Arabidopsis thaliana: one gene and its partner. The protein of the gene in region 1 interacts with the protein of each later gene in a biochemical or structural test. Each region holds a gene or a part of one and is shown on either strand. Other genes may lie near its edges.

Region 1 (12,324 bases):
TGGTAATAACCAGGTGGACACAGTGCCCACCTTAGATACTCTTTGGAGTACTCATACTTGATCTGTTGTCATCAGGACTGTTTTCCTTGAGAAAGTTGTACATCTCTAAACACATATCGTCAGAGTTCATATCGCATATGGTCCATTCGAATTGACCAAGAAGGTTGTACGGCTCTTGCTTGACCTCAGACACCAAAGTTGCGGGCTCAATTGGGCCTTCAGGCAAACTCGTGTCCTGGATATCTTTAAACTGCTCAACAGGTTGAGTCTCCCAGAACTTATGGGTCTTTGAATACTGGCACTGCAGTAACCTTCCAACTATGGTTCCACCTGAAGTATCATCCTTGGCTAATTGAATTTGTGAGCTCTTGGCAACAGTAACTAGTGCATCCTCCACTGGCTTCAGTTTTGGATCTGACATTGTTGATCGTCTGCACAAAAAAATTGATTGCTCAATCATGAATACACAGCAAGCAACAGCCATGAAACAAAACTGAAAACGAATAAGAAAGCCGAGCTAGCTTACAGTATGAAGCATTATCAAGATTTTTAACCCTAGACATAGCGATCCCAAAATTTCTAGCAACAACACACAAATACTTTCCGATTTTGTAGCAAAATCGCTATGAAGAATCCGATACAAGGTCATGAATCGAAACAAAAACCCAAGAAAACTGAGCGACACTATAGTATCAACAATGGCGAAGTACTAACCAAAAGCTTCGGGTTGAAGTGCGACAGCAAGAATCGGAAGAAGATCGCCGGAAAATAGTTGAGCTACGATCGGAAAAAACGAATCGGGACAAAAATCGCAAACAAAGTTTCGCCAAGTCAATACAAAGCCATTAATCGAAACAAATACCAAGAAAACTAAGCGATAGTATCAACAATCACGAATTACTTACCAAAAGCTCCGGGTTGAAGAATCGGAAGAAGATCGCCGGAAAATAGCTGAGCTACGATCGGAGAAAAGTGAGAGAAAACATAAATTCGAAATTTCTGGAGACACAGAGACGAATCCAGACCCTGAGATTTCTTCAAAAGTTACCGTCAGATTGAGGCGAATCCACGTGTCATCATCTGCTTTTCAGATATTTGGCGCCATAATATTCAGTTCGTACAATCGGAGACGTCATCGTCGCAATCTGTTAAAACAAATCTGACGGACCGTTATAATTGACGGACGAAAACAAACTGCAAGTGGCCCAACACAACTTTCATATTTACATTACTAAGCCCCTTCCCTCACGTTCACAAATATATACCTTATTGGGCCTATTATTTAAGGCCCAACAGCATTAATCATGCAATCTGATTTACATAATCAATAAAACCTCTATAAATTAATACTCAAAAAATTAATAATAAATTAATAGATTTTTTCGGTCCGAATTGTGACTACTATTAAAATTGATACAAATCGATAAATTAATAAGATAATATTTTTTTTGAAAACTTTATATAAATATATGGTTCCATCAATAGTACTTCATCTATTTTTTTTGTTTGATATTTTAGGAAAAACACAAATATTAAGAAAAATATATTAAATTTTGCTTTTAAATTTATTGTTCGTTGTGATTTACAATTTTCAATAACTTTAAACCAATAATATTCAATAATTTGTATTGAAGTTTACAATTTATCAATTATAACTAATAACTATTGCATTGAAAACCTAAAAAATCAATTTTTTTGAAACAATTTTTTTTCTTCTAAAAAATCAAACAAAAAGGAACAGAGGGAGTATACATTAATAATTATATATATTTACCAATATATATTATAAATATCTTATATAAAAATATGACTCTAGTTATGTTTTTCTTCAATTTTTATTAATTCTTTGTAGTATTCAATTCTAATATTTTACAACATGGAAAAAAATTATATTGTTTTTTAAACTTAATAACTAATTTCTACTTGTAATTGGTTTCAGAAATACTATTGATTTTAAAGAACAAACTAAATTTTATATCGAATTTTTGTATACAAAATTTGTACAATTTTATTAGTTTATCAATAAATTAATATCTCTCTAAATTAATAAATTTCTTGGTCCTAATATTATTAATTTATAGAGGTTTTGTTGTGGCCGACATGAATTCTTCGACGCAGAAGAAGCCCAAATGATTTATTAGCAACAAAAACAATATAATGGACCCAGTATGGAGCTAAAGTTATATTGTTCATATGTGACATTGTGTTGGGGGTTTTAGCACCTTGATACAACGAGGAATATGTTGCTTCACTCATCAGTTTTTGGAGTTATTTAAAGATGACGAAAAAGAGAGGATAGTAGACAAACAAAAACAATGGACGTCATCCATTATGCCTCTTTGTTTCTTGGGGATGAAGCCGTCTGATGTCAATGCCTATGATAGAGCTGAGGACGGCGAAAGCTCAAAAATCCAGTCTCAAAAAGAGAAAACAGATCAAATCGTCAAAGCAAAGGCCCATAAGGATGTCGGAAACACTAGTTTGCCTGAAAGTCCAGTTGAGCCGGCAAATCCGTTATCTGAGATCAAGCAAGAACCAGAAAAACTTCCTTGTGGTTATGAATGGATCACATGCGACTTGAACACTGATGATATGTGTTCAGAGGTGTGCAAATTTCTCAAGGAACAATATCTTGTTGACGGACAAAAGTTCAAGGATGCTCTTCAACAACTTGCGCTAGATGATACATTCGTTTGGTTTTATTATTATTTTGCTTCTTCTCTATATGAACTACTTTTCCCATGCGATTTTTTTACTTTTGAATTATTAGGAAGTGTGATTTTGTTACTTGTGTTGTGTCATATATAAAAAAATCAAAATTCTATAACAGAATAAAAAATAAGCTAACATGTAGCTATAATTGATGAAGGATCCCCTAAGCTCTTATACTTAGAATCATCTTCGAAGAACATACAAATATTTGAGCACAAGACTTAAAAAGCCTTCCAAAACTATTATACAAACTCAAGAAGAACAACTGCTTCAAGTTCTGTGAAAATCACTATTTCAATAATCGTCTCCTTTGGAAATAATCTCTTTGCAAGTTGGTCGCAACAGGATTGTATGCTCAAACTGAGAAATATAGCTTCCTTTGACATCACACACTGGAGGACATGGCTACAAAAGTTAACCCAAAGAAACTTACTTTCATCAAAATGTTCTTGAACATAAGTCATCAGAGTATATATATAGTTTTAAGGAGTTTACCTCAATTATGCCAGAATCACAAAGATTCTTTAAAGCCATCAAGTATTTTGTTTCACCAAGGCGGTCCAAATAACGTCTGCAGAAGGCTAGCGTGGAGAAGTTCTTGTTAATAGTGGCAAGGAGTTGTTTTGCCCTTGGTAACCTCAAAGGTACATGACCCACATCATAGTTTTTCATGTAATGGCTACATTCTAAGTCTTCTCTTACATATCCTTTCCCTGCAAAATGACACAAGTGAAAAACCAATTTTACTCTGAATTCGTAAAAATCCACATTTCTTGTATAGTTTCATGTGAGAAATGTTGTTGTTACCTGTTGATCCAAAAGTTTCAATGGCATATAATTCACCCTCTTCCATTTTCGTCTGCTCGCCTCCTCTAACATTAGGAACTGATTTTTCAGCGTGTATCTGATAGCGTCCAATGCTGTGCCCATTCAGGTTTCTGATACTTTTGACTGCCCCCAAAAGACACAACATTGTTTTAGTTTTCTAATAATCCAAATAGAAACCACCAAAAAATGCTGCCACAAACGTAATCAATTACCTTGGTAGACTTTTCCATTGATTTCAACCTCATAAGACTCCATGACCTCCTGAACTGCAGCACCAACATCACAGAGCCGGACATCTACCCCGGCTTCCTAAACCAACAAAATTAATAACACAATGGACTTATTCAGTTGGATTGAACGATAAAGATCCAAAAAAGAAGCTCAATATGGTTATAAGAAAACAATGCAAACTTCAAAGAAGAAGTCACTACAGAATGAATGGCTGCATTCACCATATCCAAGAACAGAAGAATCCCACAAGTAGCAACAGAAACAGAATGAGCACCTTGATACCAGTATATGTTGCGTCACGCGAGGCTGCTAAAAGAGGATCAAACATAGGATTGAACGCAACTGTAAAAGCAGAATCAACAATGTGCCCTGCCAAAACAACATAATAATTGTTCTTATGAGACATCTACGTTGAGAAAATACAACAAACAGATGATAAGTTTTTGTTTTTACCATACCATCAATATGTGTTCCAAAATCCAGCTTCATCACATCATCATACTGAAGGACAGTCTTATCTCCAGAGTTTGGTGTCCAATGAGCAGCAACACTGAAGGTTCAAGTAAATTTGAGACGCATTGATAGAGCCAAAGATCAAAGAAATGCAGAAAGAATGAAAAAGGTTGAACTAACTTATTCAGTGAACATCCTGTAGGAAAGGCGATACCAGCTTGAAGACCATTCTCTGATATCAACTTACGAACAGTGTTCTCTAAAGTCTCACAGAGATCAATCATCAACATTCCAGGCTTCAATATACTTCTCATATACTTCCTAACTTGACGATGAACTTCCGCTGCTTGGCGAAGAGAGTTATATATCGGCTTTTGCAGCCTCTCCATCTCTCTCTTCTCTTCAGATGTTGTTCTCCACAAATTACTACATCACAACATAGACTTAGCTAGCAAAACAAAATGTCCTTATAGAAAATCTAGTCTAGACTTACTCATCATTGTACTGTTGGATTTCACCTTGAGGAAAATCTCCAGAAGGGAAGAGCTCAAGAACAGGAATTGAAGGAGGATCAGTCTGTTGAAGAGAACTCTTCTTCTTCCTAAAAACAATCATCAGATTTTTGAGCAAGATCATCAAAGCAAACACTGAAGATTAACAGAAAAAAGAAACAACTTCTCACTTGCTTTTACTTTTCTTCTTCTTCTTCTTCGTTGAAGCCTCAGCTAAAATGAAAAGACTAAAAGTCTCAACAACAATAAAGCTAGAGAAACTCTAAACCAACTTCACATACACTAGTTCCTAGAAAGTTACAATCTCTGATGACATAACCAGATTGATTAATCTAAACTAGTAATAAACAAGAACACACGAAAGAGACCAAAGTTCCATCTTTTTCCCGTCATAATTACATACTTCAACTACAAGATCTATCAAAAACACGAAATGATTTACCTTTCAGTCCATCTTCTTCTTCTTGGTTATTATCCTTTTCGTCTTCCTTCACTTCAGCCAGATCAAGACTCTTCGTTAAGTCAGAACTTAACTGAGACTCGTTTCCATTAGAGGACTCGGCTTCAGTGTTCTCCTTCCCCATAGTTGCTACTTCTGGGTTTCCTATCGCCATCTCAAATTATTTTAACAAGGAGGCTTAATGAGAAGAAGTGCAGAAGAAAGTTCATCAGAAGAAGTCAAAGTCTCCTCTTTTCACCTCTTTTTCACTCCCAACTTTTTTCTTCAGTCTATCCAGGAAAATGTCGGAAGGTTAAAACAATTGCAAAATGATCCAACAAAACTTTCATTTATACATTTATAACCCATTACTTTAAAGAACACAAACGCTCCTTATTGGGCCCAATATTAATAGGCCCACCAACATTAATCCTGCTTATCTTTTTTTTCAAAACATTAATCTTGCTTATCTTATCTGATTAATTTAATTTAATCGAGAAAGCAAGACAAAAAAAAAACCTATCGTTTCACGGACAAGAAGAGAACCGTTGCGCTTTGTGAAGCATTTACTCAACGGCTAGTTTCCTTCTTCTTCCCCTTTTCTCTTCCTCTTCGCCTAGGGTTTCGAAAATTTCAATCCGATTTGAATAATTTCTGTTTTCTTATCGGAACAAAAAAATCTCCGGCATCTGGAATCTCCGGTGATTTTGTCAATTTCGAAGAAATTTGATTGAAATGGAGGCGAGAATCGGCCGATCCATGGAACACCCATCTACACCTGCGATTAATGCTCCGGCGCCGGTTCCTCCTCCTTCTACGAGGCGGCCGAGAGTAAGAGAAGTGAGCTCGAGATTCATGTCTCCCATTTCTTCTTCGTCATCGTCGTCTTCCTCTTCTTCCGCCGGAGATCTCCATCAATTGACTTCAAATTCTCCTAGACATCATCACCAACATCAGAATCAGAGATCGACTTCGGCTCAGAGGATGAGACGGCAATTGAAAATGCAAGAGGGAGACGAGAATCGTCCTTCCGAGACGGCGCGTAGCTTAGACTCGCCTTTTCCTCTTCAACAAGTCGACGGAGGTAAAAACCCTAAGCAGCATATTCGATCTAAGCCGTTGAAAGAGAACGGTCACCGTCTCGACACACCAACGACGGCTATGTTGCCGCCACCGTCTAGATCGCGGCTGAACCAACAGCGTTTACTCACTGCCTCCGCTGCGACTAGGCTTCTCCGATCAAGCGGGATCTCGTTATCATCTTCTACAGACGGTGAAGAAGATAACAACAATAGAGAGATTTTCAAATCCAACGGCCCAGATCTGTTGCCAACAATTAGAACCCAAGCAAAGGCCTTTAACACTCCCACCGCCTCACCACTTTCTCGATCCCTGAGTTCCGATGATGCGTCGATGTTTCGAGATGTTAGAGCTTCATTGTCGCTTAAAAATGGTGTTGGTTTGTCATTGCCTCCGGTGGCTCCTAATTCGAAGATTCAAGCCGATACAAAGAAGCAGAAGAAAGCTTTAGGACAACAAGCGGATGTGCATTCTCTGAAACTGCTCCATAACCGTTACTTGCAATGGCGATTTGCAAATGCAAATGCTGAGGTCAAAACACAATCTCAGAAAGCACAAGCTGAGGTCAGTTTCTATAGCTCTGAGAATCAGAAATTTGATAGCTTTTACATATAGATCAATGTTTGACACATAACTTCAGTATTAGTGATGAATGTTGTTTAGGTTAGATTCTGTTTGATGATGGTGATCTTATGGATGCTGTAAATTGTTTTTCTTGCAGAGAATGTTTTATTCACTTGGTTTGAAAATGTCGGAGTTGTCTGATTCTGTACAGAGGAAACGCATAGAACTCCAACATTTACAGAGAGTTAAAGCTGTTACGGAGATTGTAGAGTCACAAGTAAGTAAAGATCTTAAATATCGTAGATTTCACACTATTTTTACATTTATGAACGTTTAGAGCAATTGTGTAGTTTCCTTGTAAAAATTGGTGTTAAACTACTTTTAACTCTATGCAGACTCCTTCTTTGGAGCAATGGGCTGTTCTTGAAGATGAATTCTCAACTTCACTATTGGAAACAACTGAAGCTTTGTTGAATGCTTCATTGCGGTTGCCTCTCGATTCAAAAATCAAGGTATATGTTGTGTTGGTCGAATCAACTAGGAAAAATTCTGCTCCTTTATACCTTTTGTACTAAAACATTTAGATTTTGCTTCTCAAAACCAGGTTGAGACTAAAGAGTTAGCAGAAGCACTTGTTGTCGCTTCAAAATCTATGGAAGGCATTGTGCAAAACATTGGAAATCTTGTGCCTAAGGTTAGCAAAATACAGTCAATGTGCTTCACATTAAACATGAACAAAAACAAAGTTCCTACACACGCCTATGTTGAAACTGAAACATCTTCCTTGGTTCCTTTTGCAGACACAAGAGATGGAGACTTTGATGTCGGAATTAGCTAGAGTAAGCGGCATAGAGAAAGCATCAGTAGAAGATTGCAGAGTTGCACTGCTTAAGACACATTCATCACAGGTATTAAAACTTGTACTGTTTGGGGGACATAACCATTTGTTTCTTTTCAGTTTCTGAAATCCTAAAGTGTTTTTTCTTCTATTCTGCAGATGGAAGAATGCTATCTTAGAAGTCAGCTTATTCAACACCAGAAGAAGTGCCATCAGCAAGAGTGCACAACTTCTGTTTGATGATTTTTTAAGGTTACTTTACCACACAGTAAAAACAGCCAGCCATACATGGCATACTCGCTAGTGCAGCAACACTGAAGCTCTTCGGTTTGGCATAATCTATCTTCTTACATACCTCAAATAACAAAAGAATTTGTAAATACTATCAGTTGTCTTGTAATATCTGAGTCTATTCAATGATCCATTAGCTTTTGTCTGAGCATTGTATTACCGTATCTTTTAGTAAGAGAACAAAGAAGACTCCTTTTCAAGTGTTGGATGTTGAATTCATCGACCACTTCACTGGGTTAAACCAAAGTAAACCGGGACTCTACCGCGAGATATCCAAAACAGGCCCGTTAATGGCCATTATTAAGCCCAGATGTCCATTAAGGCGGCGCTGAGATTATAAGAAGGTGAAACTTTCTTATTATAAAAACCCTTGACGAGTTTTTGAACGAAGAGGAGGAAAGCAGAAACTCTAAGAAGAAAGAATGGCGTTGAAGTTTCTGAACAAGAAGGGGTGGCATACGGGAAGTATCCGCAACGTTGAGAAAGTATGGAAAGCTGAACAGAAGCACGAAGCCGAGCAGGAAAAGATTGAGGAGCGTTCTGAATTTCGCGCTATCCAAGAACAGGCCGGTCTTGTTCCGTAAGTTTTCTAATTCTATACCTATAGCCCTCTCCTAAATTAGATTTTGATTGGTACATATATTTGAAATTAGGGTTAGCAACAGAGTTTGATGATTGGAAGTATATTCTAATGGCGGCGTTAGTTAATTAGTTTTAAAACCTTTGAAGTGAATCATGAATGATGATTGCAATTGAGCTAATGATCAAAACTCGAATATTTTATCGAAATAGCGTCTGTGGTAAGATGAGTGGTTTTAACCTTAGTTTTGTTGTTTCTTCTTGTAGGAGGAGGCCAGAGAGATTGGAGTTCTTGTATGATCCAGAACTAGCAGTAGCGAAACAGAATGTTAGTAGTTCAAGACATGGTGTTTTGTTTCAGAATCAAGATCAGCGAGCGAGAGCTACGATTCCTGGTGCGTTGTTTGATGATGATGATAAGAGACACTCTGCCAATGATTCTTGGCGCAAATTCCACTCCGACCCTTTGCTTCTCATCAGGCAGAAAGAGCAGGAAATCTGGAAGTTCCTTTCTTTATTTCTTTACTCCATTCATGTGTCCTGCTTGTGTTTCTTCTGTAAACGGTTACGGTTTTAGATTGTATTGGATTTCGTTTCTGCTGCTAACCTGTTGTGGATTGTGTTTCTTCTTTAACAGTTGAAAAGAAAAGCGAGAGGATAGAGATGGAGTGTTGAACGAGGACAAGATACAACATCGGCGTAGATTGTTTAAATACATCGCAAGTTATCTTCTTCAGGTGTTTTTTTTTTGAGTAGGATTAGGAATCTTCTTCAGGAGTTGAATGTATAGAAAACACAGTTTTTTTTCTTTTTAATACAAAGACAATCTTTAATTGCTCTCTACTTCATAAAGTTGTGATGATTTTTAGGTGGTATACAAGCATTACTCTCTGGTGAAACACACAAGCTTTTTGGTTTAAAATAATAATTGAATTTGTCAATTGTCTACAACGTCTCGAAAATCAATAAATCTTTGCCATTGTTTGATCCGGAAGAAACGAATGTCTTTGACTTCTGAGTATTTGGGAGTTTCACAGACAAATTTCAACAAGCAGTCAGAATTTCATTGGACTTAAAGCCAATCTAAACCGGATCCAATTAGCTTAGATTTGCGGTTTAGCACAACCATTGACAACAAGCCCATGAGGCCCAAATATAACATCTAAATCACACGTTTTAAACACGGACGGCTCTGATTCCATCTCACATTATTTCGCTTATACGACGGCGACGGAGCAAAATAATTTAGAACCCTCGACGAGTTTTCGATTGAACGAAACAAAAAAGAAGGTAACCAGATTTTGAAGCGAGAGGAGGAGAAACAAAAAGAAGAGCAATCATGGGGATGAAATTTCTGAACAAGAAGGGTTGGCATACGGGGAGTCTCCGTAACATCGAGACTGTATGGAAGGCTGAGCAGAAACAAGAGGCTGAGCAGAAAAAGCTTGAAGAGCTTCGTCTCCAGATCTTGCAGGAGAGGGAGCGTTCTGAGTTTCGTGCTCTCCAGGAACAAGCCGGTCTCATCCCGTAAGTTCCTCTGTTTTCCTTACCCACGATCCCAATTGATTTGGGTGATAACGAATTTGGGAATTAGGGTTAGCGGTTTGAGTTTTTAGCGTAGAATATATAACATGCATCTGCTGGTAGTTAGTTGGTTTTATTAATGATTGGCGATGGAATCGGTGATTTGAAGTTGTGGGTCGTTCTAAAGTAGTAAAGTTGTATACTTTTATGATTTGGAGTCATTAGAATCTATAAGATGCATCTGCTGGTAGTTTGATTAGTTTTTAATGATTGATGATGGATTCGGTGATTGGAAGTTGTGGGTCGTTCTAAAGTCTTATACTTTTTGTTATCTTATTGTAGGAGACAAGAGAGATTAGAGTTTCTGTATGATTCTGGATTAGCTGTAGGGAAGGGAAGTGCGAGTGGTTCAGGTGTTTCGTTTCAGAAAGAAGAGCAGCCTTTAGCCAAATCTGAAGCTGGTAGTAGTGCCAGTGAGAAGCCAGATCAGTCAGCTCCTGGTGCGCTGTTTGAGGAGAAGGCACAATCTGCTAATGATTCGTGGAGGAAACTTCACTCTGATCCTTTGCTTCTCATCAGGCAGCGTGAACAGGAAGCTCTTGCCAAAATCAAGAATAATCCTGTCAAAATGGCTCTTATTCGTAAATCGGTAAGTTCTTTTGTTCTTCTACATGGAGGGTTTGGGAATTGGGATTACATTGGATATATGTTATTGGCTTTCTTTTCCTTATACATTTACTGACCCTGTTGGAGAGTTTCTTTTACAGGTAGAAGAAAAAGGAAAGGGTAAAGATGGAGACACAAAGGAGCACAAGAAGAAGCATAAGCGTAAAAGTGGAAAGCATCAGAAGCAATCTTCATCCAGACAGCGGTCTGATTCGGAAGAAGATTCTGGTGAAGAGAATAACGGAAGAAAATCTCACCATCAGAAAACGTCAGGGACTCATGACAGACACTATGAAAGACCAAGGTCAGATTTAGAAGATGAGTCAAAAGGAAGAGAGAGTCGTGATAGGCACTATGAGAAACGAAGGTCAGAACTAGATGATGGGCACAAAAGAAGAGAGAGACATGATACGCACTATGAGAGACGAAGGTCAGAAATGGATGATGAGTCAAAAAGAAGAGAAAGTAGGGATAATCACTATGAGAGACGAAGGTCAGATTTGGATGATGAGTCCAAAAGAAGAGAAAGTCATGATAAGCACTTTGAGAGACAAAGGTCAGATTTGGATGATGAGTACAAAAGAAGAGAAAGTCAAGATAAGAGACGAAGGTCAGATATTGATGATGAACCAAAAAGAAGAGATGCTCGACCGAATGAGAAATATCGAAATCGCTCCCCTAAAGGCGGTGTGGAAAGGGAAAATCTTAAGAGTTATGGTCAAGAGGATAAAAAGAGGAAAGCAGAGGATTTAGACAGTGGAAAACCGAATGAATACCAGAATAGACGCCGGAAAGGTGGCTCTAAGCTATCAGAAGAAGAAAGAGCTGCTAGATTGAAGCAAATGCAAATGGATGCAGAGGTGCACGAGGAGCAAAGATGGACAAGATTGAAGAAAGCCGATGAGACCGATGCAGTGGAAGCTGATAAGAACAAAGTATCCACGGGCAAGAGCTTTTTGGACGATGCTAATAAGAGTGTGTATGGAGTTGAGAAAGGCGGAAGCTCAACAATTGAAGAAAGCGTGCGTCGCAGAAGCTATTATTCACAACGTGGAACTGCAGCTGAAGGCAATGCGTTTCGACGCTGATGATGTAAAAATATTGTTACAACAAAACACAATGTATACTAAGGTTTGTGTCTTTTTTGATATTTTTTTTCAGTTTTTGACATTGTATTTCTGATTCCAGAATATTGTTGAGCATCAAGCTCTTTAGGTCTTTTGATATATGAAGACAACGAGGCTGAGGCCCATTGTCATAAGCCCATTATGGGGTGGTCCAGTGTTTTATCCCGGATCGAGCGTGGGATTTGAATAGTTAGTGTGTAATCTTATTCAGTGAGTGGGACGTTGAAATGAGGTGTATGAGTCAGTCAATGAATACCCGTGACATGTAGTTAAGCCATAATACTCCAAGATTCCCCTTTGGCACCTTTTAAATAAACCACGAGATGAAGCCACTCTCTCTTTTGTCTTTTTTTAATATGTTTTATTTTCTTTCTTTTTCTTGTCCATCTTTTTAAAAATAATTGAAATTTGACCTAGGGTCGTTGGTGTGTTATAATTTTGATTCAATTTCGAAGTTCGCATGTTGATAAGAAAAATATA
Region 2 (11,952 bases), on another chromosome or scaffold:
ATCCTTCAGAAACTTATCAACCATGTCTGCTCCTCTTCACTTCCCTAGTCCCAATCCATTGATGAATAATATTGCTCAAAACAAACCAAATAATAATCCTAACGTTAGAGTCATTCACGAGGATCTTTATGCTCCTGATCCTGAACTTCTTGCTCTAGGTGATTGACTTTAACTCTGTCCCATCTTTTAGATTTTTTTTTAGGTTTCTTGAAGTTTGTTCTTGATTGGGTTTTGCTGATCAAAAGTAAATTATGGGGGGGTGTTTTTAGCGGAAAAGAAAGTTGTGGGGATGAAGCGAGATGTGGGCATACAGAGTACGACGTCGGTGGATCTTAGCTCCGGTAGCCCTAGTCCGGCAAAAACGCCTCCGATTATGGAAAGGTCGTTAAAACGACACGTGGAAGCTGATGATTGGCCAGTGGATATCAATCTCAAAGTGAAAGGTCAACAACAGGTATATATAATATCAATATAACAGTAATTCAAAAAGAATTTATTTCATTTATGTTTATTTGAGTTTGATTTAAACTTCTTAACCAAGGATTACTCTAACAAAATCCAGTAATATTTACCGTAGCCTAAAATATTAAGGAAAAACAGTATCAAATCAAAAAAAAAAATCTATTAATTTGGTAAAATTATAATTTAGAGAGAAAAAAATGAAAACTTTTAATAAAAAAGTGAGAAATATTTAGTCGCTAGCGTGAGGTCCATGCAATTGAAAAGGTACGGAAAAAAATAATAATTGCATAAAATTTTGAATTGTTCGTGCATATGCATCAATAATTAGATACTCTTTCGCAAGATAAGAAAAGCATCAAAGAAATGATAGTACCAAATGTTTTCATGGAAAGAGACAATGATAAAACTCTTCTATTATTGTTTTTGTAGATATGTTACATGATTCATTTTAAGATTTAAGATTCTTTCATGATATATGAAACATAGTACACATGACCGTCTATGACTATATATGAGAGTATTAATCATAGAAACACAAAACCGTATTTCTTGAAAATATATCTCATTAGGCCCCATTTCATGATTTTGTCTCCAACTCACGTGACTACCATCCATATTCTGTATTTTCTCTGTACATTTATCTAAATATACAGTTATAGTCACTCTTATGATTATGAGTAACATGTTATTTAGGAGTAAGTTTTTGTAACTTGATAAGGCACTGATAGCAATCTCATTCTATTCAAACTCGATTAGAGACCTTAGAAGTTTGTTTCATCAAGTCTCACCAGTCCCCAACTTTACATGTGGTTTTACCTTTGAGAAAGAAAAGAGATGATTTACGTTTGTATAACTATTATCAATTGCTGTTTTTGGACATGAAACTGTAGATAATTTGCCAAAAGGCCAAAAACACTTGTAAGGAAAATAAGTCTTATCTATATTATATATCTAAGCCTTGTTCTTCTCAAGATATTACATGTTAATGAAGATTTATTTGAGCTTTGAAGGATGTGAAGTTGGAAGAGAAAGAAAAAGAAGAAGAGAAGCAAGATATGAGCAACGAAGAAGATGAAGAAGAAGAAGAAGAAGAGAAGCAAGATATGAGTGAAGAAGATGATAAAGAAGAAGAAGACGAACAAGAAGAAGAAGAGAAGACCAAGAAGAAGAAGAGAGGACCTGGATGTTTCTCATGGGTGAGATCAAGACAAAGACAAGCAAGAAAATCAAAGTATATCTTCCCTATTTGTGTTCCTCATCTTGTCAAAGGTTGTTGAAAAACCTTTAAACCGAGAGAATCAATAAAGGTTTAAAGGTTTAAACCATCCTTTCAAAGGTTCCTCTTATTTGTTTCTCTTTTTCAATCTATTTTATATTATCAAAAACAAAATCATGATGATATTATATTTAGTTCTTCCTCTTTCATATAGATTCATCATTCATGGGAGTGTCAAAAGCTTAACCATATGCTTTTGCTCCCCTTTTCTCTATAACAAATGCTTATCTCTAGAGTCCCTCTTGTGTTTTTGTTTTTTTGCTCGCTCTATCTTCTTCATGGTTATTCTGTTTCCTCCTGATCATACTTCCATTCCACAATTGCTAGAGTGTGTCGGCCACCACAAGCTACATGTTTAGCTATCCATTTTCCATCGTCTTCTTCATCGGTGTGGTTGAACCGTCCTTCTGGTGGTGGAATGTGTATAGGAAGCTCCAATGGTTGTCCCGTAGTTACTTTTCTTCCATACCCGAGTCTACCGTGGTCTCCCCGACCAAACTGATCACAGGAATCAATATAAAGGAGAGGTTTATAGATTGACTTTGGGTTTCTAACCAACAATGTTTTATACTCTCTAAGAGGACTTACCGAGAAGATCCTACCGTCTCTTGTCAAAGCGACTGAATGAGTTCCGCCACAAGAGACCTGAGAGGAAAAAAAACAATAAGAGCTTTCAAAGCTATGAGAAGAGTCAAGAACTGGTGGTTTGTACTTTTTACCTGAATGATGTCTTCTCCAGCTAAGAGATTAACTTTCTGCGGAAGCATTTTACTGCTCTTATCATTGTCACCAAACCCGAGCCTTCCATGCTCTCCTCTTCCCCAACCATAAACCTAATATTGGACATAGCCAAGTTACAACATTTTTAGAGTAAAGATCTACATCAAGCTCAGAAACAACCCAGTAATGACTCGATCAAGAGCCAGATGGAATAAAAAGTGAGACCCTAGATTAGTAAGAGAATGTATGACTTCTAATACCTCTCCTTCATTGGTTAAAGCTGTTGAATGCCATCCACCCGCAGCGATATCAACCTAACATGAATTCAGAGGAGGAATTAAACTTTAACATAGGCCTTTATAGTTCACATATCTGAAGGCATCAGTTATAATAATGAGTGCTTAAACCAGAAGTCTTAGACTACATACCAAAGTGAGATCGTCAAGGCCTTGGACAGGAATAGGATACGATCTCGGTTGTGTGTCTCCAGTTCCAAGTTGTCCATATTCATTATTACCCCAAGCCCACAAAGTCCCATCTTCTTTCAGAGCCAAGTTATGAAATGCTCCCACAGCAATCAGACGAACGTTTTCAAGACCCTGAACTCTTACAGGAACAGAAATTTGTTTTCTGCGATACACAGGAAACACCATATAAACCAACAGAAGACAAGAAAATGCAAATGTCGTATCCATAAACGAAAGGAAATTTGGATAATACATGTCACCGGGAGGCCACGGTTGACCCCAAGTCCATACATAACCTTCACGGGTTAGAACCACAGAGTGAGTACCCCCTGCAGCTACCTGTTATTTTAATCATACAAACCCGAGAACAGATGGTTTAGACAGGAAAAAAAGAGAACTAAAAATTGAGGTAAATGAAGAGAGGTTAGCAGCATAAGTAACCTGTCGGACTGTAAGTTGCTGGGCACAACGCTTAGGTATTACAATATCCCTCCGCACAGGCCTACCTGTCTCATCCTTGGAAGGCTCTTCACCACACTGTCCATATTCATTTCCACCTAAGTAGATTATATAACAAAAAGGTGAACAACTTAAGATCATTAAGATCATTGAGGTCACAATCATTAGAAAGAAGCTGAGAGAGAAAATGCATACCCCAAGCATATGCTCGGCCTTGATCATCGACAGCTAAACAATGCCAGCCACCAATAGCTGCCTATGATCAATTACAGAAACGGCAATTCAGAGTAAATCACAACGAGGAAACAGCATTAGAGCCAAAAATACTTAAATAATTGTAAGAAGTTTTACCTGAACAATCTTGACGTTGGCAAGAGACTTAACTAGACTTGGGGTGCTTTCTGTTTTTGTCTCAGGTGGGTGTCCTAATGTACCCCTTTGATTCCAACCCCATGTAAACAGCTGAGAAACCATTTAAGAGACCATATTATTTCTATATGTTGGTGACACATCAATCATAAACTACACCATGGAGACAAGAACCAGAGTCTGATGATCTATTCGAGAGTAACCTCAGACAAACATATTGGTTGCATTTTAGTTGGACTTCAGGACAAGAAAAAAAATACGAGCTTTAAACCCTTTTTAATTGGTCCTACAGATCTCAAAAACCCTATGTAAAGCGAACTAAGAAAATCTTAAAGACATGGCTTAGAATCAAATCGCAAAATCAAAGCAAAGCATTGTACTTTAGTTAGTTCTAAGCGAAACCAACCAAAGAAGACACAACAAGGACACATAAAGGAAATTGGATAAGTAACCTTGCCATCATCGCAAATGGCGAGGGAATTGCGGCTACCACCGACGACGGAGCGAACGTTGAAAGGCTCAAGAGCGTCGACGACGGAAGCCAATTCCTTTTCTTCATCGGTTCCAAGTCCTAGTTGCCCATCTTCTCCAGAACCCCTGTGCCAAAAAATCAAACGAAGGAGCAATAGCACAAGTCAGAAACAGTAATGGAGAAAAACAAAGAGGTAGAATAGAAAGAGAAATGACCAGGCTATGACGGAAGTAGCTGAAGCCATTGAAACAAAAGTGAGAGATACAATTACAAATGAGAGAGAAAGAGATATATATGAAGAAACTCAGTGGAAAAGCAGGGCACTCTCGGTGGGATTTCAATTCGAGATATTATTATGTGAATGTGTCATTACATTAATTATTTATTTTGGACCAGTTAATGTTACCTCCCATTCCCATGTCATTTATTAATTAATCCAACTTTTTAGCTTATGGTCATGGAGGATTTATGATTTGTAATTCCATTATATGTGTTACCTAACAGTTGTTCCAAACCGAAAGAGGCTTTATCTTTCGTTTAAAGTTGTGAAATTCCATTTCTATTTCGTTTCATTGAACAACTCTCTTGAGTCTTAACCAATTCCATTTGGGGAACATTCCACCTAGAGAAGCATAATCTAAAAGACAACTAAACCCCAATCAGAGAAGGAAGCAAGTTTTCAACTTTTAGACCGGACCATGTAATGCAATGCAGTCTAATAGTGAAACCGGCAACAACGACAACAACCAAAACATGTGAGAAGCACACAAAGAGTTTTAACCATCGATAACCAAATCATGCAGCTACAATTACTACTACAAATCCATGTTTAAGGAAACTACAGCCCATGTTTAAGGAAACTACAAGGTTTTTTTCTGTTTAAAAACACAGAACCAAGCCATATATTTTTTTGTCTGCAAATCATTCCATGGATCTGATTTTATCACTGCGAAGGTGGTGGTTGGGCTTGTTCATCAACTTTCTGCACCTCTTTCGGGGCTTCCTTGATATCATCACCAGCTTCGTCCTGGAGATTAGATATTAGACACAAATGTTATGCGAAAACCAACAAGAATCTTAACTGCATGATGCAATCACTAAGATATTGCTAACAATGATGAGTGTAAAGAGAGACAAGTACATTGAGGTCAGAAGTCCAGAGGGTGAGATTGTCACGGAGAAGCTGCATGATCAATGTACTGTCCTTGTATGATTCCTCTCCCAATGTGTCTAGCTCCGAGATTGCCTCATCAAAAGCCTACCACCATGAAAAATCATATTAGTAACTAAACAAAAGGTACTTGAATCAAACTAGAATCCGAATGTGAAGGTTGTCCAAATTTCACTAGTGTATGGAACCATTCACAGGATCTAGTTTCCCAATTCTGCCCATCATCAAAATTAACTACAACCCTATCGGTCAGGCTATGGTAAGCAATCTACAAACCATTACTAGAACATATGGAAAGTCTACCCACATGGAAGTGTAACAAGTTAACTACGTAACACGTTTTTGCCACATTATGAACGATAGATAGAAAAAAAGAACCTCTTATGTGCTAAGTTTAATCAAGCAAAACAGTTGGAATATAGGTTTGTTAGTTAATGACAGAAAGCATAGCATAAATGAAAAAGTAACACAGACCTGCTTTGCGAGACTACACGCACGATCAGATGAGTTGAGAATCTCATAGTAGAAAACAGAGAAGTTAAGAGCAAGCCCCAGTCTGATTGGGTGAGTGGGAGCCAGATCAGCAAGAGCAATATCCTACATAAAAACACAAACACCAATAGCATGAGACAACATGTTATCTTAGCACTCTATATGGTTAAGAAGAAGAAACAAGATGATAACCTGAGCAGACTTGTAGGCAACAAGAGTGCTCTCAGCAGCTTCTTTCCTCTCAGCACCAGTCTTGAATTCAGCAAGGTACCGATGATAATCTCCCTTCATCTTCAGGTAAAAAACTTTGGACTCAGCCAAAGAAGCAGCAGGAATGAGATGAGCCTCAAGAAGGTTCAAAATGCCATCACAAATCTTGCTGAGCTCAGTTTCAATCTTGCCTCTGTAATCCTTGATAATCGAAACATGATCACTGTTGCCCCTGCTATCTTCCTTCTGCTCAATGGAAGAGATAATCCTCCAAGAAGCTCTCCTAGCACCAATCACGTTCTTGTAAGCAACAGACAAGAGATTCCTCTCTTCAACAGTAAGTTCCTCGGTCTCCACGGTCTTTGCAACTTTCTCCATGAACTCAACCATTTCCTCGTAACGCTCAGCTTGCTCGGCTAACTTGGCCAAGTACACATTCTCTTCCCGGGACGAATCAGAAGACATCTTTGCAATACTCTTTTAAAAACCTGTTTTCAACAAGAAAATATCAAGCAGCAGCAATAAACAAAGAGCACGAAATAGAACTCAGTAATGCTGCAACAATCTTGCATTCAAGAGCAACGATAACAATCATCTCTAACAAAATTAATCCACGCACCCAAAGAATAAAAAACTTTGACAAACGATTTACACTGCTAGATCTATCCAAAATCGATAGAACGAACTTTGAATCCTACAGATCTTGAAGTGATGACCAAAACGCGAAGATCAACAACATATCAACAATAAACGCAGAAAACGAGAAGCAGAAAAAACATTGTCGAAGTATGAGCAAGGAAGATCGGAACCGTACCTTGAGAAATGGGAATTTTCGAATTAGGGCTTTTGAATTCGAAGCGAAATTAGGGGAAGTGAGAAATTTGGGGGAGACGGTCTCGTGACCATTAAATGGGAAAAGAGTAAAGAGAGAGAGAGGGGCAACGACCCAATTAAAATACGACACGTGCTAATCTGTTGACCGTCAAAGGACTTAATTCTCGTCCATAATTTTAAATTGAAGTGGGTGAAATGTGACGAATCATAAGTTAATAAGGTCATTCATATAATACAAAAATATTAAGGGGGCAAAATGGCAATATAAGTTAAGTTTCCTTGGGGTAAATGACGGATTTACCCTTTGCCCTGAACCCATTTCTAGTCCCCTTTGCCCTTTTGATCGAATTGATCGGAGAAGGCCGGAAAAGCTCGAAGGTCCGTCGTCAATGGGTAGCTATGTGGAGCAAGCTCGTGAAAATCACGTGAAGAAGAAGGTCGAAGAAGGTAATTTGACAATGTCGTGACTTCTTCATCTCGCTATGTTTTAAAACCCTAAACCCCCAAATGGTTTTTTTATTGCCTCGAAAATGAGATCAACCATATCGATACTATTTAAGCCTGGTTTCTTATCATAGACGCAGATTCTTTTGCTAGATTGAGGATTAGGGTTCTCATAAACCCTTGGTAGTAACTCCATATTTTGCATCTGATCTAGCAAGCTCTCATTGAGTGTGTCAAATTGCTTCTATGAATTGAGCTTATAGATTGTGTTGAAGTTGAAATGGTGATGGTTTTTTTTTGTTAAATGGTTGTTTGATTGATTATGTATATACTTTGTTATTAGCGCTGCGTAGCAAGATGAAGGCAAAGGCATTAATGGAATGTGATCAGTACGTCTCCAAGTATGCTCAATGCGCAACAGGAAGAACTTTTTCTGTGGTATGGACATGTCGTAAGCAAGCTAGGGAGCTCAACACTTGCCTCCATCAATTGTAAGTTTTTCGAGTTTTTAGTGCTCCTTCCATTAGAGGTGTCATCTTTTTTTCACTGTTACGTATAAAGATTTGTTGTGTATGGGGGCATCTGATTTTGATTATTCTTTCTTAATACCCTTCACTGGTAAGTCTGATATGATGAAATGAGACAACTTGTGGTTAGGAGATGCATAACGTTATCATGACGTACCAGTGCTAGTATATATATGTAACCAAATATAAGCTTATAGAAGGGGATGATTGATGATTCTTTGATACTGCGATAAAAGAGAAGTAATAACTATCTTCTATATCGGTGTAGCACAGTCTTGTTCTTGGTGCACAAGTTCTTTTTATGTGACTCCCTAATGAACGTCTCCCTTGTTGGGCCGATGCTTAAATGTTGTCTAACCATGAAACTATTTTGTTGATTCTGCAGCACCAATGACAATGTCTTGGAGGAAATGAAGAGAGCGTATATGGTTCAAGAAGAGGGTAAAGTCTCAGCCTCGGCCATATAGATGTTTGTTGAACAAAAGATTTGAGTACGACCAATATAATGTCCTCGCTTTGTTTCTTGTTCATTGCGAACCAAAATATATCCTTTTTTATAAATAAACTGTGGCCTTTCTTAAATATGGGTGTATTCACTAAATCTAGAGATCAGATTCAAATAGATTTTGTATTACTATTTTTTATCATTTTGCAAAAGATCCACTACATCTAAAGATCAGATTCAAATATGTTTTTCATTGCCAAAAAGAAAAAAAAAACATATGTTTCACAATATTCAGGATTTACACCAAGAAACAAAATTTGAGGTGCTTACAAATTAGAAACCAAGTTAAAAGCAAAGGACTTCAAGCAGTAGGCTTCCTCATATTTCTGCCTGCACGAATCACTTCGTCCACCAAAAGTAATTGCGACGCAATCACTGGCCTGCAACACAAACAAATAGCCGGTTATTGAAATGGTTTCAACCGAAACCCAAAGCTTTTATTAGAATTGACTAGTTGGGTCGAACATTACCCTGAATTGATAAGTTGGCGTTTCACTGAGTAATTATCAAAAATACCAGCAAGCTGCGGGTCAATAGGTTCACCGTCCTGAAGGTTCAGTCCCACAACGTTCCCTTTGTCATGCTCGCTCTGCATAAGCGCATCACAATGAGCAATTCTAATTCTTTGTTCCTTCAACAATTGATTTCAGTTTGCAGAAGATGATAAGAGAGATGAATGCATACCGTAAGAGAAATGATCACATCTTGGGTATCAAGACCTGCATTTTCTGCAAGTGTCTTAGGCACCACGAGAAGGGCATTAGCAAAAGCTTCAACGCCAAGTTGGGCACGCTGCAATGTTCATGATAGTATTAGCAATTTAGAATATTGGGATGCATTAAGTAATGTTGCGAGAATTAGAGTACGAGTGAAGAAATCAACTTACCCCTTGAACGGTTTTCTTGACTTCATTGAGTAAGTGTTGCCTTGCTGCAACTTCAAAAGCTCCTGCTCCCTACAGAAACATGCAACCACACATTAACATAACGCAAAACATATACAATAGGTCTATATGCTAACCTTACCCAGGGTTTTGATCACGAATTAACAATTTCTTTGATATTGCGGAGAAACATAAAGCAATGTTAACAAAAAAACTTCAAGATATATAAGGTACTTACTAACACAACACACTCGTCTTCTATGGTGTTCTTGACCGATCTCAGACCATCACGAACAGCGTCCTTAATTTGGGCAATAGTGTGATCATTAGGCCCTACAAAACCCAAGAAATTCATGAATGAACACTAAAACTACTAAAAGAACAAATGAACCATCAAAACTTAATGAAGACATAAAAGTCGTCCTAATACCTTTTATGAGGATGGTACATGAATTAGGATTCTTCACTTGCTCCACAAAGGTGTACTTTTCCTCCCCAAGAACGTGCTCATAGACAAGTCCAGCCCATCCAAGAGACTCAGGGGTCAAGTCGTCAACAGAATTCACAGCTTCTCCACCACAGGCCAAAACTAAACGTTCCATGTTCCTCCTCTTTGCTCTTCTAAGACCAATAATCTGGACACATGAGGAAAGGTAATTAGATTCAACAGCTTCTAAACAAGAGAAATTAGGTACAAAAGAATAGACAAGCTCAGTCAGTGTCCCAGAACTAAAAACTAATGCTGCCAATCGTCTCCATGGATTATTGTATATCGAAGGAACTACTCTTTTAATATTACTGGCAATTTCAATTCACTTAATAACACATTCTTCCCTAGTATCTTTCTTCTTGTTCCTAAATATCACAATTTCAGCGATTTGTAACATAAGTTTAAATGCAAGAAAACACAGAAGTAGCTTACCCCTTCTCTAGCAAGAAGATCCAATGATGGTGGGTCAATACCCTTCTGATTTATGACAACAAAGTTGTCATTATCACCACACACCTGCACAAGAAATAAAACATGTATTAGTATTTTTTACAGGGTTTTAAAATAAAACTTGGAGAAATGGTCGCAGTCCCACCTTCTTCTTCAGCTCAATTATTTTCTTAACTCTTTCATCAACAGATCGCCTCTCTGCGGTAACCATGGCTTCCCTCTGCTCCGCATTAGAGTAGAAAAATCCTGCATTGATTTCACTGATAGATAAATAGAAATATTAGTCCACATCACCAGAAACATCCAGGCCTTTACTTTCTCTTCGCCAAATTGACCAAAGAATTATATTACACACCTCTTCTCATACTCTAGTGACACATTGCAAGTTAAGATGTGGCAATTTTCTGCGCGTCGTTTCATGTCAGGGTGTCTCGAACCATGATCCAGAACAAGCCCCTCAACCTAATTCAGAATTAAGTCAGTGTTTCCAACAGGTCCATACTATAAACCGGCAAGTATTTCATATATAAACCTATAATGAGGGAACTATTTTACAATAAATTAAGTCAAGACATACCAATCGTGTGTCAACATCGAATTTGTGACGCATGTGCATTATTTCCACCATAAACAGATCAATAGCTTCCTCAGGCTTTCGGATGCAAAGAACCTGTAATGTGAGGAAAGTAGATAATTAGAAGACAAACAAGCTCGAAAACCAATATTGGTGCATAGATGAGTCCTCATCTGTGTGAACAAAAAAAATGAAAAGAATAAGTGAGATTCCATTAGAGAACAGTTAACTCACCGAATTGACGACAATGTCAGTCAGTTGATCAGCTAAGCCTTCGTACAACTACACAATCCACAAGAGTAAATCGAAATTAGAAAACGAAAAGAAAAATCAAATGAAAAGAAAGATAATCATAAAATGAAGAATACTTTTGTTCTTAGTGTCGTTCTTGCAACCATTTTTAGGATCTCTTTATCAACTTCATCACCCATAACAACAGGGGTCTTGAAGTTGTCAAGAAATTGAAGAGTAGCTCTCTTAGCAATCTCGAAACCATCAACTAGGACTCGTGGATGCATACCTGATACAGTATAAACCTTCATTAGGATTCTGGCTACAAAACTAGATACCAGTTGTGCATTTTCTATACCCAATATAAACAAAACTTGGCAAATCAATGTCGCTGAATACAAATAGTTGGTCCCCACTAATAACACATAGATTGAGAAATAAAATAAAAACAAGCATATAGGAGTATAAAACTAACGAACTCTCAGCAAACAATTAGCGACTTACCTTCATCGATGCAGCGTTCAGACTGTTTCATAAGCTCACCAATGAAGATAACAGTGGAAGTAGTACCATCACCACTTATATCATCCTGTGCAACAGCTGTCCTCGCAATCATAATGGCTGTTGGATTCTGAATTTGCTGCAACAGTTAAGAAATCAGAGTGTAAGCATCATCGAACCAAGATAACTTGTAAAGGAGCATACCAGTAGCCCATATCAACACCAAAGATTATCCGGCAGTATCTTAATCCTTTCGTCTATCTTATCTAGCGTAGTACTAAATGACACAATTCACGGGCTTCTGAGCACCCTTCAACACTAAAAAGCCAAAACAGAGCTCGATTCTAACAGATCAATACGATCTAGATTGATTTTAAAAGATCAAACTCACCATTTCCTTCAATAGCGTGTTCCC

Evidence for each region.
Region 2: the proteins of EDE1 (region 1) and GRF5 form a complex in vitro, tested with the Arabidopsis thaliana proteins (one study listed by BioGRID).

What each region holds. Positions count from the first base shown.
Region 1 is NC_003071.7:18,266,436-18,278,759, forward strand, and holds EDE1 (ENDOSPERM DEFECTIVE protein (DUF566)), read left to right. Parts: upstream 1-5,683; 5' UTR 5,684-5,910; coding exon 5,911-6,819; intron 6,820-6,976; coding exon 6,977-7,096; intron 7,097-7,214; coding exon 7,215-7,331; intron 7,332-7,423; coding exon 7,424-7,513; intron 7,514-7,619; coding exon 7,620-7,727; intron 7,728-7,816; coding exon 7,817-7,897; 3' UTR 7,898-8,244; downstream 8,245-12,324. Other genes in the region: AT2G44175 (Acyl-CoA N-acyltransferases (NAT) superfamily protein), read left to right, coding at 2,353-2,691, 2,771-2,779; MAP2A (methionine aminopeptidase 2A), read right to left, coding at 3,007-3,117, 3,208-3,425, 3,520-3,663, 3,753-3,849, 4,046-4,140, 4,230-4,321, 4,405-4,650, 4,718-4,825 and 2 more; AT2G44195 (pre-mRNA splicing factor domain-containing protein), read left to right, coding at 8,371-8,528, 8,795-9,104; AT2G44198 (uncharacterized protein), read right to left, coding at 9,631-9,729; AT2G44200 (pre-mRNA splicing factor domain-containing protein), read left to right, coding at 9,867-10,054, 10,394-10,700, 10,819-11,805.
Region 2 is NC_003076.8:5,238,840-5,250,791, forward strand, and holds GRF5 (general regulatory factor 5), read right to left. Parts: upstream 7,000-11,952; 5' UTR 6,913-6,999; intron 6,904-6,912; exon of another isoform or gene 6,718-6,903; intron 6,587-6,717; 5' UTR 6,564-6,586; coding exon 6,081-6,563; intron 5,994-6,080; coding exon 5,871-5,993; intron 5,484-5,870; coding exon 5,367-5,483; intron 5,253-5,366; coding exon 5,169-5,252; 3' UTR 4,716-5,168; downstream 1-4,715. Other genes in the region: AT5G16030 (mental retardation GTPase activating protein), read left to right, coding at 1-158, 246-454, 1,473-1,739; AT5G16040 (Regulator of chromosome condensation (RCC1) family protein), read right to left, coding at 2,021-2,236, 2,327-2,383, 2,458-2,571, 2,719-2,772, 2,887-3,088, 3,179-3,264, 3,367-3,482, 3,580-3,640 and 3 more; AT5G16060 (Cytochrome c oxidase biogenesis protein Cmc1-like protein), read left to right, coding at 7,322-7,379, 7,720-7,867, 8,289-8,370; AT5G16070 (TCP-1/cpn60 chaperonin family protein), read right to left, coding at 8,710-8,788, 8,879-8,997, 9,093-9,200, 9,295-9,363, 9,530-9,624, 9,722-9,926, 10,214-10,297, 10,377-10,491 and 6 more. UniProt on the Arabidopsis thaliana protein: Is associated with a DNA binding complex that binds to the G box, a well-characterized cis-acting DNA regulatory element found in plant genes.